Linked DNA regions of Sus scrofa. Each later gene encodes a partner of the first gene's protein in a complex. Links are inferred from orthologs where the notes say so. Each region holds a gene or a part of one and is shown on either strand. Other genes may lie near its edges.

What was found. Proteins that work in one complex are often made in the same cells at the same time.
Region 2: the proteins of RAB7A (region 1) and RUBCN are in contact, whole or in part, in a crystal structure (PDB 6WCW), measured with the Homo sapiens proteins. The link is inferred for Sus scrofa from reciprocal best matches to the Homo sapiens genes RAB7A and RUBCN. Residues at the interface, in NP_004628.4 of Homo sapiens: Ile41, Gly42, Ala43, Asp44, Trp62, Gln71, Ser72, Leu73, Gly74, Val75, Ala76, Phe77, Arg79, Ser101, Asp104, Glu105, Ile108, Gln109, Ser111; in NP_055502.1 of Homo sapiens: His818, Asn821, Met822, Lys824, Thr825, Arg827, Leu883, Gln885, Ala886, Lys887, Gly888, Phe889, Ile890, Glu892, Gln895, Glu897, Ile900, Pro903, Cys915, Lys916, Arg931, Arg934, Arg938.
Region 3: the proteins of RAB7A (region 1) and RILP are in contact, whole or in part, in a crystal structure (PDB 1YHN), measured with the Homo sapiens proteins. The link is inferred for Sus scrofa from reciprocal best matches to the Homo sapiens genes RAB7A and RILP. Residues at the interface, in NP_004628.4 of Homo sapiens: Ser3, Lys6, Leu8, Ile41, Gly42, Ala43, Asp44, Phe45, Leu46, Thr47, Thr58, Trp62, Ser72, Leu73, Val75, Leu182, Tyr183, Asn184, Glu185; in NP_113618.2 of Homo sapiens: Phe248, Glu249, Leu252, Gln253, Arg255, Asn256, Lys259, Ala260, Phe263, Leu264, Glu267, Glu268, Tyr271, Arg274, Glu275.

Annotation. Positions count from the first base shown.
Region 1 is NC_010455.5:71,883,913-71,888,173, reverse strand, and holds the start of RAB7A (ras-related protein Rab-7a), read left to right. Parts: upstream 1-1,415; 5' UTR 1,416-1,552; intron 1,553-4,261.
Region 2 is NC_010455.5:134,322,335-134,325,961, reverse strand, and holds part of RUBCN (uncharacterized protein LOC100153714), read left to right. Parts: intron 1-207; coding exon 208-364; intron 365-988; coding exon 989-1,522; intron 1,523-3,171; coding exon of another isoform or gene 3,172-3,216; intron 3,217-3,627.
Region 3 is NC_010454.4:47,853,912-47,857,538, reverse strand, and holds part of RILP (rab-interacting lysosomal protein), read left to right. Parts: intron 1-142; coding exon 143-232; intron 233-460; coding exon 461-605; 3' UTR 606-1,426; coding exon of another isoform or gene 1,427-1,644; intron 1,645-1,969; coding exon of another isoform or gene 1,970-2,031; intron 2,032-2,330; coding exon of another isoform or gene 2,331-2,432; intron 2,433-3,248; coding exon of another isoform or gene 3,249-3,627. Other genes in the region: SCARF1 (scavenger receptor class F member 1), read left to right, coding at 1,427-1,644, 1,970-2,031, 2,331-2,432, 3,249-3,627. UniProt on the Homo sapiens protein: Rab effector playing a role in late endocytic transport to degradative compartments. Involved in the regulation of lysosomal morphology and distribution.

The DNA of each region.
Region 1 (4,261 bases):
GAACCATGAGGTTGCGGGTTCGGTCCCTGCCCTGGCTCAGTGGGTTAACGATCCGGCGTTGCCGTGAGCTGTGGTGTAGGTTGCAGACGTGGCTCGGATCCTGTGTTGCTGTGGCTGTGGTATAGGCTGGTGGCTCCAGCTCCGATTGGACCCCTAGCCTGGGAACCTCCATATGCCGCGGGAGCGGCCCAAGAAATAGCAAAAAGACAAAAAAAAAAAAAGCCACATCAGATGGCAAAGAGAACACCAAAACTCTATGCTCATAACAACTTGGCTAGGTGGCCAGGACAGGGATCCTCTCTGCCCTAGCTTCATAGGTAAGTAAAAGACTGCCAAGGATAAGGGACCTACTTTTCCCAAGTTGTCTCCATTTTTGAGGCTGGATTAAGGCTTACTGTGGTAGCTGTGGTAACTGCTCAGTGTGTTGTAGCAATTATCATCATTACTATCATCCCAGATTCCCATTTTTCAGGCTGAAAGCCATTTCCTCACTTTTGGTGCAGAAGGGACAAAGATGCTTCTCGGTGCCTCCAGCCCATTCCCTCTGGTACTCCCCCTCTTCTTCCCTACCTCATCTCTTTCCTCCCCTGAGGGGCCTGGCCTTAGAAGCCCCAGTGTCTGTCCCAGGAGGCTGCAACAACTATGAGGGTTGGGCTCCGTTACTTTACCACCTTTTTTGCACACACCTGACAGGGAGAATGTGTAGCAGTTACAGTTAGTCAATCTCTCACCCCAAACTGTCCCCAATACCAGCTATTGGGGGACTTTGAGCCTTCCTCCCTGTCCTCACCTGTAAAACGAGCCTCATAGGGTTGTAGACCAAGTGGTACACATGCTGTAAGGGGTTGCTGTTCTTACTATTACGAGTGGGTAAGAAACGGAGATTTAAGGAGATACTGTGATTGGAAAACTCAGTCCTTGCAATTGCCCTGCCCATTAGATAACGTCACCCCATTTTATATAAAGGAGGGACCTCCGGGCCACCTCCACTAAGGTTGAATGGGGAGGGCAAGGTGGACGCTGTTTTCTCATCTGTAAATGGCAACAACAGCACGGGCCTTTCCGACACGGTGACTAACAGATCACCGAGCCCATCAAGCCATGCTGGCTCAGCACACAGCGCCCGCGCCAATGCCAATACACACGTTCCCAGGCCACCGCAGCCGCGCCCCAGCTCGGCTCACAGGTCCGGGCCACGCCCCCCGAGAAGACCCGGAAGCAGAGTCCCCCCGCAGGTCAAAGCTGGCGATGCTGCTCCTGTACCGCCGCCAGAGGGCATGAGCGCGGCCTTTGTTGGCTTGCACCTCGCCAGTTACGTCAGCGGCCGGTCGCGGAAATAGAGGGGTTTGCCGTACAAAATGGCGGCTGCCTATGGGGCGGTTCGGAACGCTGAGAAGCTGTTCTGTTTCTGGGACACGCGGCGATCCTGGCGTAGGGCTTGCAGCAGGCTTCTAGCCAAAGACGGCTCCCGCGGAATTTCCCGGCGCCTTTGTTGTCAGTAAGCGGCAGAAGGCACAAGATGGAGGCGTTGGCTGGGCGGCCGGAAATGAAAGTGAGCGGCGGCGTGTTTCCCTCCCCACCCGGCTCCCCCGCCCTCAGAGCGCCTCGTTGGGCCGCGAAGTCAGCAGTGACCCGGGGTCTGAGCTATGTCCCTCCTTTCTGAGGCGTGACCTGCCGCGAAAGGTACAGAGTGAGAAGCCGAGCCCAGGAAGTGTATGGGGGCCCACTGTTGCGGGCTTGGTGTTTTCCTTTAAGACTCACGGGGCCTCGGTCTCCTCGAGCGAAGACGCAAATCCCGAAACGTTCCATTGGGAACGACATGTGTAAGGCTCAGTGCGGGGCTCCAGGTTCGCAGGTTTTCTTCTCTGGCCGCGGGGTCGCCTCAGAGTGACGCTTAACCCAGGAGGCCTGCCGGGAGGTGGGGCGGCGGAGCGGGCTGCCTCTGAGCACAGCGTCGGGTCGGAGACCCTTTGCTTATTTAATTAATGTGAAACACATCCTGTGTAAGTTTAAAAAACACTTAATATCGGTGATATACACACAGCGTGGAACTTAACCATCTTAGTCGCTTTCGAGTGTGCAGTTCAGTGGCATTAAATACATCGCGTTGCTCTGTGATCAGGCTCTATATAAGTTCATTTTGCCGAAGACCGAAGCTCTGTACCCTTGAAAGGGTACCTCCACATTTGTCCCTCCCCAGTCCCTGGCAACCACCGTTCTTTCCTCATACAGGAGGCCTGGAGTGTTTGTCCTTTTGTGACTGGTGTGCATCACTGAGCATAAAGTCTTCAAGGTTCACTCGCGCTGTAGCACGCTCCTTTCTTTTTCAAGGCAGGTTGATGTTCTGTGGTTTTCACGAGCCCTGAAGGGTAGCGGAATAGCCACCCCAAGTGTGCCAACTTGGCACGCGGGTTGCTTTGAGCCAAAGGCAGTCAGTATCCAGCAATATGAGGGAAAGCCTGTAGCTCTCCCTTAACTGCCTAAAAGAATTTAAATAAGGACCAGACCAGAAAAAGCAATTACCAGAGAGAAACTTTTCTATCTAAAAGACTTACTTGGGGAGTTCCCGTCGTGGCGCAGTGGTTAACGAATCCCACTAGGAACCATGAGGTTGCAGGTTCGGTCCCTGGCCTTGCTCAGTGGGTTAACGATCCGGCGTTGCCGTGAGCTGTGGTGTAGGTTGCAGACGCAGCTCGGATCCCGCGTTGCTGTGGCTCTGGTGTAGGCCGGCGGCTCCAGCTCCGATTCGACCCCTAGCCTGGGAACCTCCATATGCCGCAGGAGCGGCCCAAAGAAATAGCAAAAAGACAAAAAATAAATAAATAAATCAAAATAAAATAAAATAAAAGACTTACATGCATGGCAGGACAAACATCTAATCACCAAGCCTCTGCCCTGCTCTTCTCTTCTTGTGAGTGGCCCTCCTCCCCTCTGAAGCTCCAGCCCCAACCCTTCCCTCAGCTCAGGAGGGCAGATAAGCCTCACTTGCCTGACTACCTTCTTATTTTTATAGGGCTCCCATACATATGAAATTAAGTTGGTTCCTTGCCTATTAATCTTTTTTATGACAATTTAACCATTAGACTAGCCAAAGAAATTAGAAAAATAGAAGGAAAATTTTTCCACCCTGACACCGCATTTTATTTATTCATCTGTTCGTAGACACCTGGTTTGCTTCTACTGTTTGCTACTGTGAATAACTCTGTGAACATAGGATGGACACACATTTTTACATGAACTAATATCCAGTAGGGTTGCAGAGAGGAGAGTATGATTTACATATTTAAATTTGATGAGGTAATTTTGAATCATAAATGAAACATTAAGCTGTTTACAAGATCACTATAAGATTTTAAATGTAGTCAGTCATTGTGCATTATGGGCCATGGCGTAGCCTGGTGATGGGACATGGATTTAAGGTGCTGTGGTGATTGTGGACCTCCCTTCAGCCCTGCCAGCAGGCTTGGGGGAATTTTGTGGATAATCTTACTTAGAGATGGCATCGAAAACCTAAGGAGTAGGTGCACAAATATAGGAATCAAAGATCCATAACAAAGGATTGTGAAGTGACATTTTGGAAGCATCTAAGGCCTGATTTATTCATATGTGAGGCGTGGGAAATTATGGTATTCGTCTTAAGGGGTTATTGTGGGGATAGCAGAGTCATGGTGGATAAAAGGCTCACCTGGCCAGTAATAAATGTTGGCCATGGTGTCTGTGGACATAAAAAAATGTTCATAGTGTGCAATTAATTTTTTTTTTTTTTTTTTGGCTGCACCCAAGGCATATGGAAGTTCCCTGGCCAGGGATTGAATCTGTCACCAAAGCATCAGACCGACCCTGCCCACCCACCCCCACTGCAGTGACAACTGCACCACATGAGAACTCCCTGCAATTAATTTTTAAAAGGCAGTACATCTGGGTGAAGGGTACATGGGGATTCTTTTTACTATCTTTGCAACTTTTCTGTTTATGTCAAAATAAGTTTAAAAAACACATTAAAATAGCATGTAAAATGGAAAACAATTTTGAGGAAAAATTTTTGCCCACAAAAAAGACTTGATATTTTTATATCAAACATGCTAATCATGGAGTTCCTGTGTGGCTCAGCAGTAATGAATCCAACTGGTATCCATGAGGACTCAGGTTGGATCCCTGGCCTTGCTTAGTGGGTGAAAGGATCCAGTATTGCCATGAGCTATGGTGTAGGTTGCAGACTCGGCTTGGATCTGGCCTTGCTGTGGCTGGATTTAGGCTGGCA
Region 2 (3,627 bases), about 62 Mb from region 1:
TTCCAGTGGCAGAAGCTGTGGTGTGTGGCAGGACTTCAAGGTTTCAGAGTTGTGTGCTCTATTGGAGGATAGCTATGCTTTACCTTCAGTCTCTGGCAGCAGTTCAAACCTGCTGCCAAAGGCAGTTCCTGCCAGCGTTTGTAGCGCTAAGTGCTCTTCCTCTGAGGGCCTCTGTCCTTGACTCTGACACATGTTTTTTCTTTGTAGTTTGCCAGAAAGCATGAGAGCCCGCTGCTGGTGACAAAGAGCCAGAGCCTGACAGCTCTGCCTGGTTCAACATACACCCCTTCAACCAGCTATGCTCAGCATTCCTACTTTGGATCCTTCTCTAGCCACCAGCAGTCTATACCCACTCACAGCTCAGGTATGGAGGGAGCAAGGGGTAGTTAAGGCACATATCCCCGGCCCTGGAAAGCAAGAGGACTTACTGGGTGCTCACAGGCTGGCTATAGACCGTCGGGTTGGTGCAGTTTGTCAGGCTTCATGTCTTAATATGGAAATCTTAAAGAAGTATATGCAGCTAGCCTAGGATAATTCAGTAGAAGCATTAAAGTAACTGAGAAAAGAGATATTGTTTTACTTTCCCCTGGGTTTCTAATCCACGTTGCCAAGAAGGCATTTCTGTAATAAAAGCTAGCTAGCATTGATTCAGTGCCTGCCATTTGCCAGGCTGTGTTGTGATCAATTTGTATATATTCTCATTTGATCCTTAAAAGAATCCTCTGAGGTAGGTGTTATTATTATTGCTCATTTTATAGATGAGGAATGCATACTAATAAGCAATGAAGCCACTGTCTCAAGAGCTCATGCTTTTGGCTTAGCTGCATTTTTTATTTACCTTGTGTGACTTCATCTTTTCTGAGGTGACACCATGTGTCCTGGGCACCCAGTAACGATAGGGAGTTTTGTCCTTACTTGTGGAGAAGCCCTTCATGTTTACCAAAGGCTTCTAGCTCACCTTTCCCTTCCATTTATTTTTATATCCTAGAAAGAAGATCTACTTCCTTTTCACTGTCTGGCCCTCCTCGGAAGCCTCAAGAAAGCAGAGGGCATGTCTCATCAGCAGAGGATCAAACCATCCAAGCTCCTGTGCTTCCAGCATCTGCATTAGCCAGGGACTCCCCCTCAACCCCAAATGAGATGAGCTCCAGTACTCTGACCAGCCCCTTAGAAGCATCCTGGGTCAGCAGCCAGAATGATTCCCCAAGTGATGCCAGTGAGGGGCCTGAGTACTTGGCCATTGGCAACCTGGACCCCCGCGGCCGGACTGCCAGCTGTCAGAGTCACAACAGCAATGCTGAGAGCAGCAGTTCCAATTTGTTCTCCTCCAGCAGCTCCCAGAAGCCAGATTCTGCTGCTTCCTCCCTAGGGGACCAAGAGGGAGGTGGGCAGAGCCAGCTGTCCGGTGTCCTTCGCAGGTCTAGCTTCTCCGAGGGGCAAACACTCACTGTCACCGGTGGGGCAAAGAAGAGCCATACTCGCTCCCATTCAGATACCAACATTGCCTCCAGAGGAGCTCCAGGTAATGATAATCTCCAGCCCTCATCAGTAAGGGGCCTCCTGAATGTAGGGTAGGAGGCAAAGTTTGTTCTTAAGAGTCCTCAAATGGCAGAAAGAGAAGTTAAGTTTCTGTTGATGTAATGAGTATCCTGCTTATAATGAAAAAGAAAAGTTTGTAATGTAATGTGGCTATCCAAGAAATCTCTCTGGGAATATTTGTGTGTGTTCCTTTATGCCTTGCTAAATAGTAAGTACTTTCCTGGATCCTTTCACTAGTTCTTTAGCATCAGAAGACAGTGTGACTAATCACAGTTCAACTTCTAAATGCATATCTAAACTGAAGGGAAGTACTAATGAACTTTAAAAATAGTCCCATTAAATTCCTCCCCTTCCTGTGATTGCTGAGAAGTTTGGTCAGGATGTAGCAATGGTATAGGAAAGGCAGAGTGATACTAGGGTTTCCTTACTGAAACCAGAGATAATAGTGTATGTGGGATGATGTGACCTAGTAAATAAGCAGGTGGGGCTGAGTGCTACATCACTAATTCAGGTTGAAAGGCAGTCAGGTAAGGAGGCCCTGGCTGCTGGGACCTCCCTCACACAGACACCAGCTGCTATCTGAGAGCACCCTAGGCATGGCCAGGCTAGATCTCGCTGCTTTTGCCATATCCCTGCCACCATCTTTCCTAGGTTTTTGGTGTCTGGCAGGCTTTGGTTGGGTTTCATTTGTAAGAGAATCTCCCAGAAAGCAAGCAGAACATGGACTTTTGTGCTCAAAGCCAGTTCTGGGTGGAAAAGCCTCAGAAATAAAATATAAAAATAAAACAAGGAGTTCTCATCATGGCTCAGTGGTTAGCAAACCTGACTAGGAACCATGAGGACTCGGGTTTGATCCCTGACCTTGCTCAGTGGGTTAAGGATCCGGCGTTGCCATGAGCTGTGCTGTAGGTCACAGGCGCGGCTCGGATCCTGCGTTGCTGTGGCTGTGGCGTAGGCTGGCGGCTATAGTTCCGATTGGACCCCTAGCCTGGGAGCCTCCATATGTTGCCGGTGCGGCCCTAAAAAGACAAAAAAAAACCAAAAAATAAAAAAATAAAACTAAAAATTAAGAGCTAAAAAGGAAGATTTCCTTTCATGGCCTAAGCTGTAATTTCTAAAAGGTGAAAGCTAAGGTCCTCATCTGAGACTTCTGAACTGCAAACTTGTGTCTCTGTGTCCCCTCAGGGATGTGGTTTGGCTCATTGGAACTCTAGGAAAAAGAAAAAATCTCCAAATCAAAGCCTGTCTTCCCACGAGCTTTCTTAGATGTGAAGAGTGTTTGGGTTAGAACCTTCCTTCACATCGCCTGGAACAGACCTGGTATCTGCTGTACTCCAGGCCACTGGCGTTTGAGCATGTAAAACTTCCCTGCCCCCATTCTTGAATCCATGTGGATTCCAGAAACCACGGTAACCTGCACTGGAAAAGGGAGCTAGAGAAAACCTAAGCAGAAGGATCTGAGGGAGTGTGGGTCCTGTGCAGCTTCTCACATGACTCACCCCTCCCTCTGCGCTAGGGTTCCCTCTCAGGAGTTAAGCCCCCACCTTTGCTAGATAAGAGGACACTCTTTTTCTCACTCTGTCTATTCTCATTTTTCTGGACTCTCCTCTGCACCTGTCTGTCTACGTACAGGAGGCCCCAGGAATATCACCATTATAGTTGAAGATCCCATTGCAGGTTTGGGAGCCAGTCCTCCTCCTCGTCCACCACCATCCTCCTCCTTCTGCTCCTCTGTGACCATCTTGCCTAGTTCAAGAACTTCCTTTTCCATTCTGGTGTCAATTCACGTCTGGTTAGTCTGGTCCTGTAGCGGTGTTTGGACCTTTTTGTAAACTGATACCAGTATTTTGCATGGTATGTTTTCTGCCCACCACTTCCAGATGCCTCATTCAGTCTCTCAGCAGCTTCTGGGAGGTAGACTTATCCATCTTGTGTTGCCCAAAGATAAAACTGAGGTGTGCTTTTTGTGTAATTCATCATAATGAATCAATCAGTGGCAGAATGTTTCTTACAACTGAGTACTGTGAATTACCTTATTTTCCTTGAGTTAACACCAGAATGTGTTTTCTCCCCTTCCCATGGTCTTGG
Region 3 (3,627 bases), on another chromosome or scaffold:
TTGGGGGCCCTGAAGTCACTCTGTCCCTCCCCTGCCTGCTCCTGGGGGCTGCACAGGAGGCTGAACAGAGTGGACTCCGACTCCTGTGGTCCCTCAGGGCCCTGATTAATGACCTTCCCATCTCCTCTCTCCTCGGCGTCAGTGACGATGAGGATGGCTCCTGGCTCCTGCTCTCCAGCGACAAGGGAGACCACCCACCACCTCCACCCCCTGAGTCCAGAATACGGAGTTTGTATGTTGGGGGAAGAGGACGGGCGGGGGGCGGGGGGGCACCACCTTTTCTGCTCCGCTGGTGCTCACCCCGCTTGGCCTGGACTCTGAGCATGCCTGTCCCCTCCTGCTCCCCCGGTGGCCCCTTGACCTCCCCCCGCCTCATGCTCCCTTTTCTTCCACTTGAGTCCCCTTTTTCTAGCACCCCCTGCCTTCAGCCCCATCCTTGACCTCTCGGCTCTCCCCCTAGCTTTGGCCTGTGGTATCGGGGTGAAGCAGAAGCCCCTGAAGCTGACGCCAGCAGTGCAGCTCCCAGAGAGCTGCGAGCAGGAGAGGAGGCCACAGCACCACCCCATTTGGACCCTGTAGGCAGCCTGACAGCCCCCAGCTCCTGACCGGCCCTGCTCTGCTCTTGATGAGTATCTTCCACTGGGGCATCAGTTGCCCAAGAGACCTGACTTTGGAGTCTGTCTGTGGGTGAATGTGTGCCCTCGCATGAGGCCAGGGTGCCCTCCTTCCCCCCCAAGCTCGCTGCTGTCTTTTCTCTATCTCTTTTTTTGGGGGGGTGGGGGTTGCACCCATGACACATGGAAGTTCCCGGGCCAGGGATCAAAGCTGCGCCACCGCAGAGACTGGAGCCACTGCAGTGACTATGCCCAATCCTTAACCCTCTGAGTCACAAGGGAACTCCCCAAAGCTCTTTTCTAATCCCGGCCTGAGCCAGGGCGTGCCGGGGAGTTCAGCCTACCTTCCTTCTTATATCTCTGGGCCCAGCCTCGGGGCCACATGAAAGTGCTTCTTCTCCGAGAGTTTCCCCCTCCATGAAATGGAGAGCTGACTTCCTCCCTCCCGGGGGTTGGTACGGATGGCCTAAGCTAATTATAATAAAGCAACTGCCCTTGATACCCAGAAACTGCTCCACGTCTGTCTGTCCGTGGCCTGCCCCTGCTCAGCTCTTCCCGGAAGTTCCCCTCGGTTGTCACCGAGTGGGGAAGCTTCTCCCGGCTCGGGCTTCCCTTGGGGAATGTGACCAGGAACATCCATGGCGCACCCCCTTGCCTGTCACCAATACTGAGACTTACAGCCCCGTCTTCCTGCCCCCTCCAGACTGAAAGCAGCCCCCGAAGCCCCGACTCAGCCCTCGCCGTTGGCCTTCCTTTCAGTGCTGGGCGTCTGGTCCTCTCTGTGCCTGCCCAGCCTCTCAGGGAGGTGCCTCATGGCAGCCCGCCCCTCCGGCCTGGTTTCCTCAGGAAAAGCCTTGGGAGGAAGCAGGGAGGGGGTTGGGAGCTGTGGGGGCCAGACTGGGCTGAACCCTCCAGCTGCACCGGCTGCCATGGGGCCGAGGCTGTTGTTCCCTCTGCTGCTGCTCTGGACCTGGGGGACCCGGGGGTCTGAGCTGGACCCCAATGGGCTGCACGTCTGCGTGGCCAGCAGGTGGGTCTTGTGGCGGTCGGATGTGGGGGGGCGGGGAGGGCTGAACTGGTGTTGAAGCTTTGGGGGGGAGGAGGACGTGAGGAAAGACATCATGGGGCTAAACCACAAGGGGTTCAGGGACAGCCTGGAGGGGGGCAGATAGTCAGGGCAGATGGCAGAAAGTCCAGGGACAGGGATTGGGGACACTGGGGCTGTGACTCTTGGCCAGGCTTGCCTGATGGGGCTGAGGCAACACCTCCCATATCTCAGCCAGAGGCAGTGACCCACCCTGGAGCCAGGCTGTTCCCCCCCTCCCCCCCGCTGCTGACCCCTCTCTGCCCCACAGCCCCTCTGCTGAGCTCCAGTGCTGCCCAGGCTGGAGGCAGAAAGATCAAGAATGCACCATCCGTGAGTAGCCAGGAATGGACCCACCCCCACCCCTACTCCCACCCCCACCCAAGGAGAAGGGAGGAAATAGCAAGTGACCCTCCTTCCTGTCCTCCTGGGGTCTATTTGCCCTCCTGAGCCCTAGACCTAGGGACTGGCCTGTGACAACTCCCCCCACCGCCGCCTGCGGCCCACCGCCCCCCGCCAGCCAAGGAGTCAGCTCTTGAGGGGGGCAGGGCACCGAGAGCCAGTGAGAAGGGCAGAGTGTCCCCTGGTCTCTCGCAGCCCTGTCCTTCCAACTTGGGTGGGGTGTTTTTCAGCCATCTGCGAGGGGCTGGATGCCTGCGGGCAAGACGAGGTATGTGTGAAACCAGGCCTCTGTCGATGCAAACCTGGATTCTTCGGGGCCCAGTGCAACTCCCGTGAGTCCTGAGTCTCTCCTGAAGGATGAAGTTGCTGGGCAGGACTGGGGGAGAGGGGAGGTGAAGCAGGTGGGAATGTGATCCTAGAACAGCAGGGCCAGAATCCCTCCAAGCTTCCCCGAGGAAACTGAGGTCCAGAGACAGGAAGTGACGCCGTCTTGGAAGAGGCCTTGAGTCATTTGATTTTTACCCATATCCACAAAGCTCTCCCACAGCTTCAGTTTTTCATCTTCCCTTTCAACTTCTCAGAAAAGATGCTGGGGATTCCCATTAACTGCAAAATGGATGTATTCTCCCTGGCATACACTACATGCCTGTGTGGAGGGTGGCTGGACCGTGTGCCCTCTCTGGCAGAAAGAGGGGCTTGGGAAAGCGGCCGGCAGGCAGGATAGCCAGCAGGCAGCCTAGGAGTCAGGGTTGAGAGGAGAAACGGGGGGGGGGGGGGGGGGGGGGTTGTGGCTCCTGCCACCCTAATGGGCCGTATCCGGGTAGATACAGTGGGGGCCCCATGAGAGGGAGGAGGGGCAGGATGAAGGCCCACCACTTCTATGTGACTCTGGGCCAAAGGCCCTTTCCCACTCGTGATCCTTAAGTGTGTTCTGGAATGTGGAAGTGGGAGGCTGGGCCACTGCTAGGAATTTTTGTAGTTAGAGTCTGGGGCAGGAAGTGAGCTGTGCCCCAGGAGGATAGGCTGTCCCCGGCTCTTGGAGGGCGGGCCCAGCGCCCCCTCTTCCTCGTGGAAGGGGGCGCAGAGCGGGGATCCGTCCCTGGCCCTGAGCCCACTAACCCCTCTTCCGCCCCCCCGCCCCCCCGCAGGCTGCCCTGGCCAGTACTGGGGCCCCGACTGCCGGGAGACCTGCACCTGCCACCCGCACGGCCAGTGCGAGCCAGCCACGGGCGTGTGCCGCTGCCAACCCGACCGCTGGGGCAGCCGCTGCGAGTTCCCGTGCGCCTGCGGCCCGCACGGGCGTTGCGACCCCGAGACAGGCGCGTGTCACTGCGAACCCGGCTGGTGGTCGTCCACGTGCCGCCGCCCGTGCCAGTGCAACCCGGCGGCCGCGCGCTGCGATCCGGCCACCGGTTCCTGCCTATGCGAGCCCGGCTGGTGGGGCCGCCGCTGCAGCTTCCGCTGCCCCTGCCACGGCTCGCCGTGCGCACAGGAGTCGGGCCGCTGCGCCTGCCGGCCGGGCTGGTG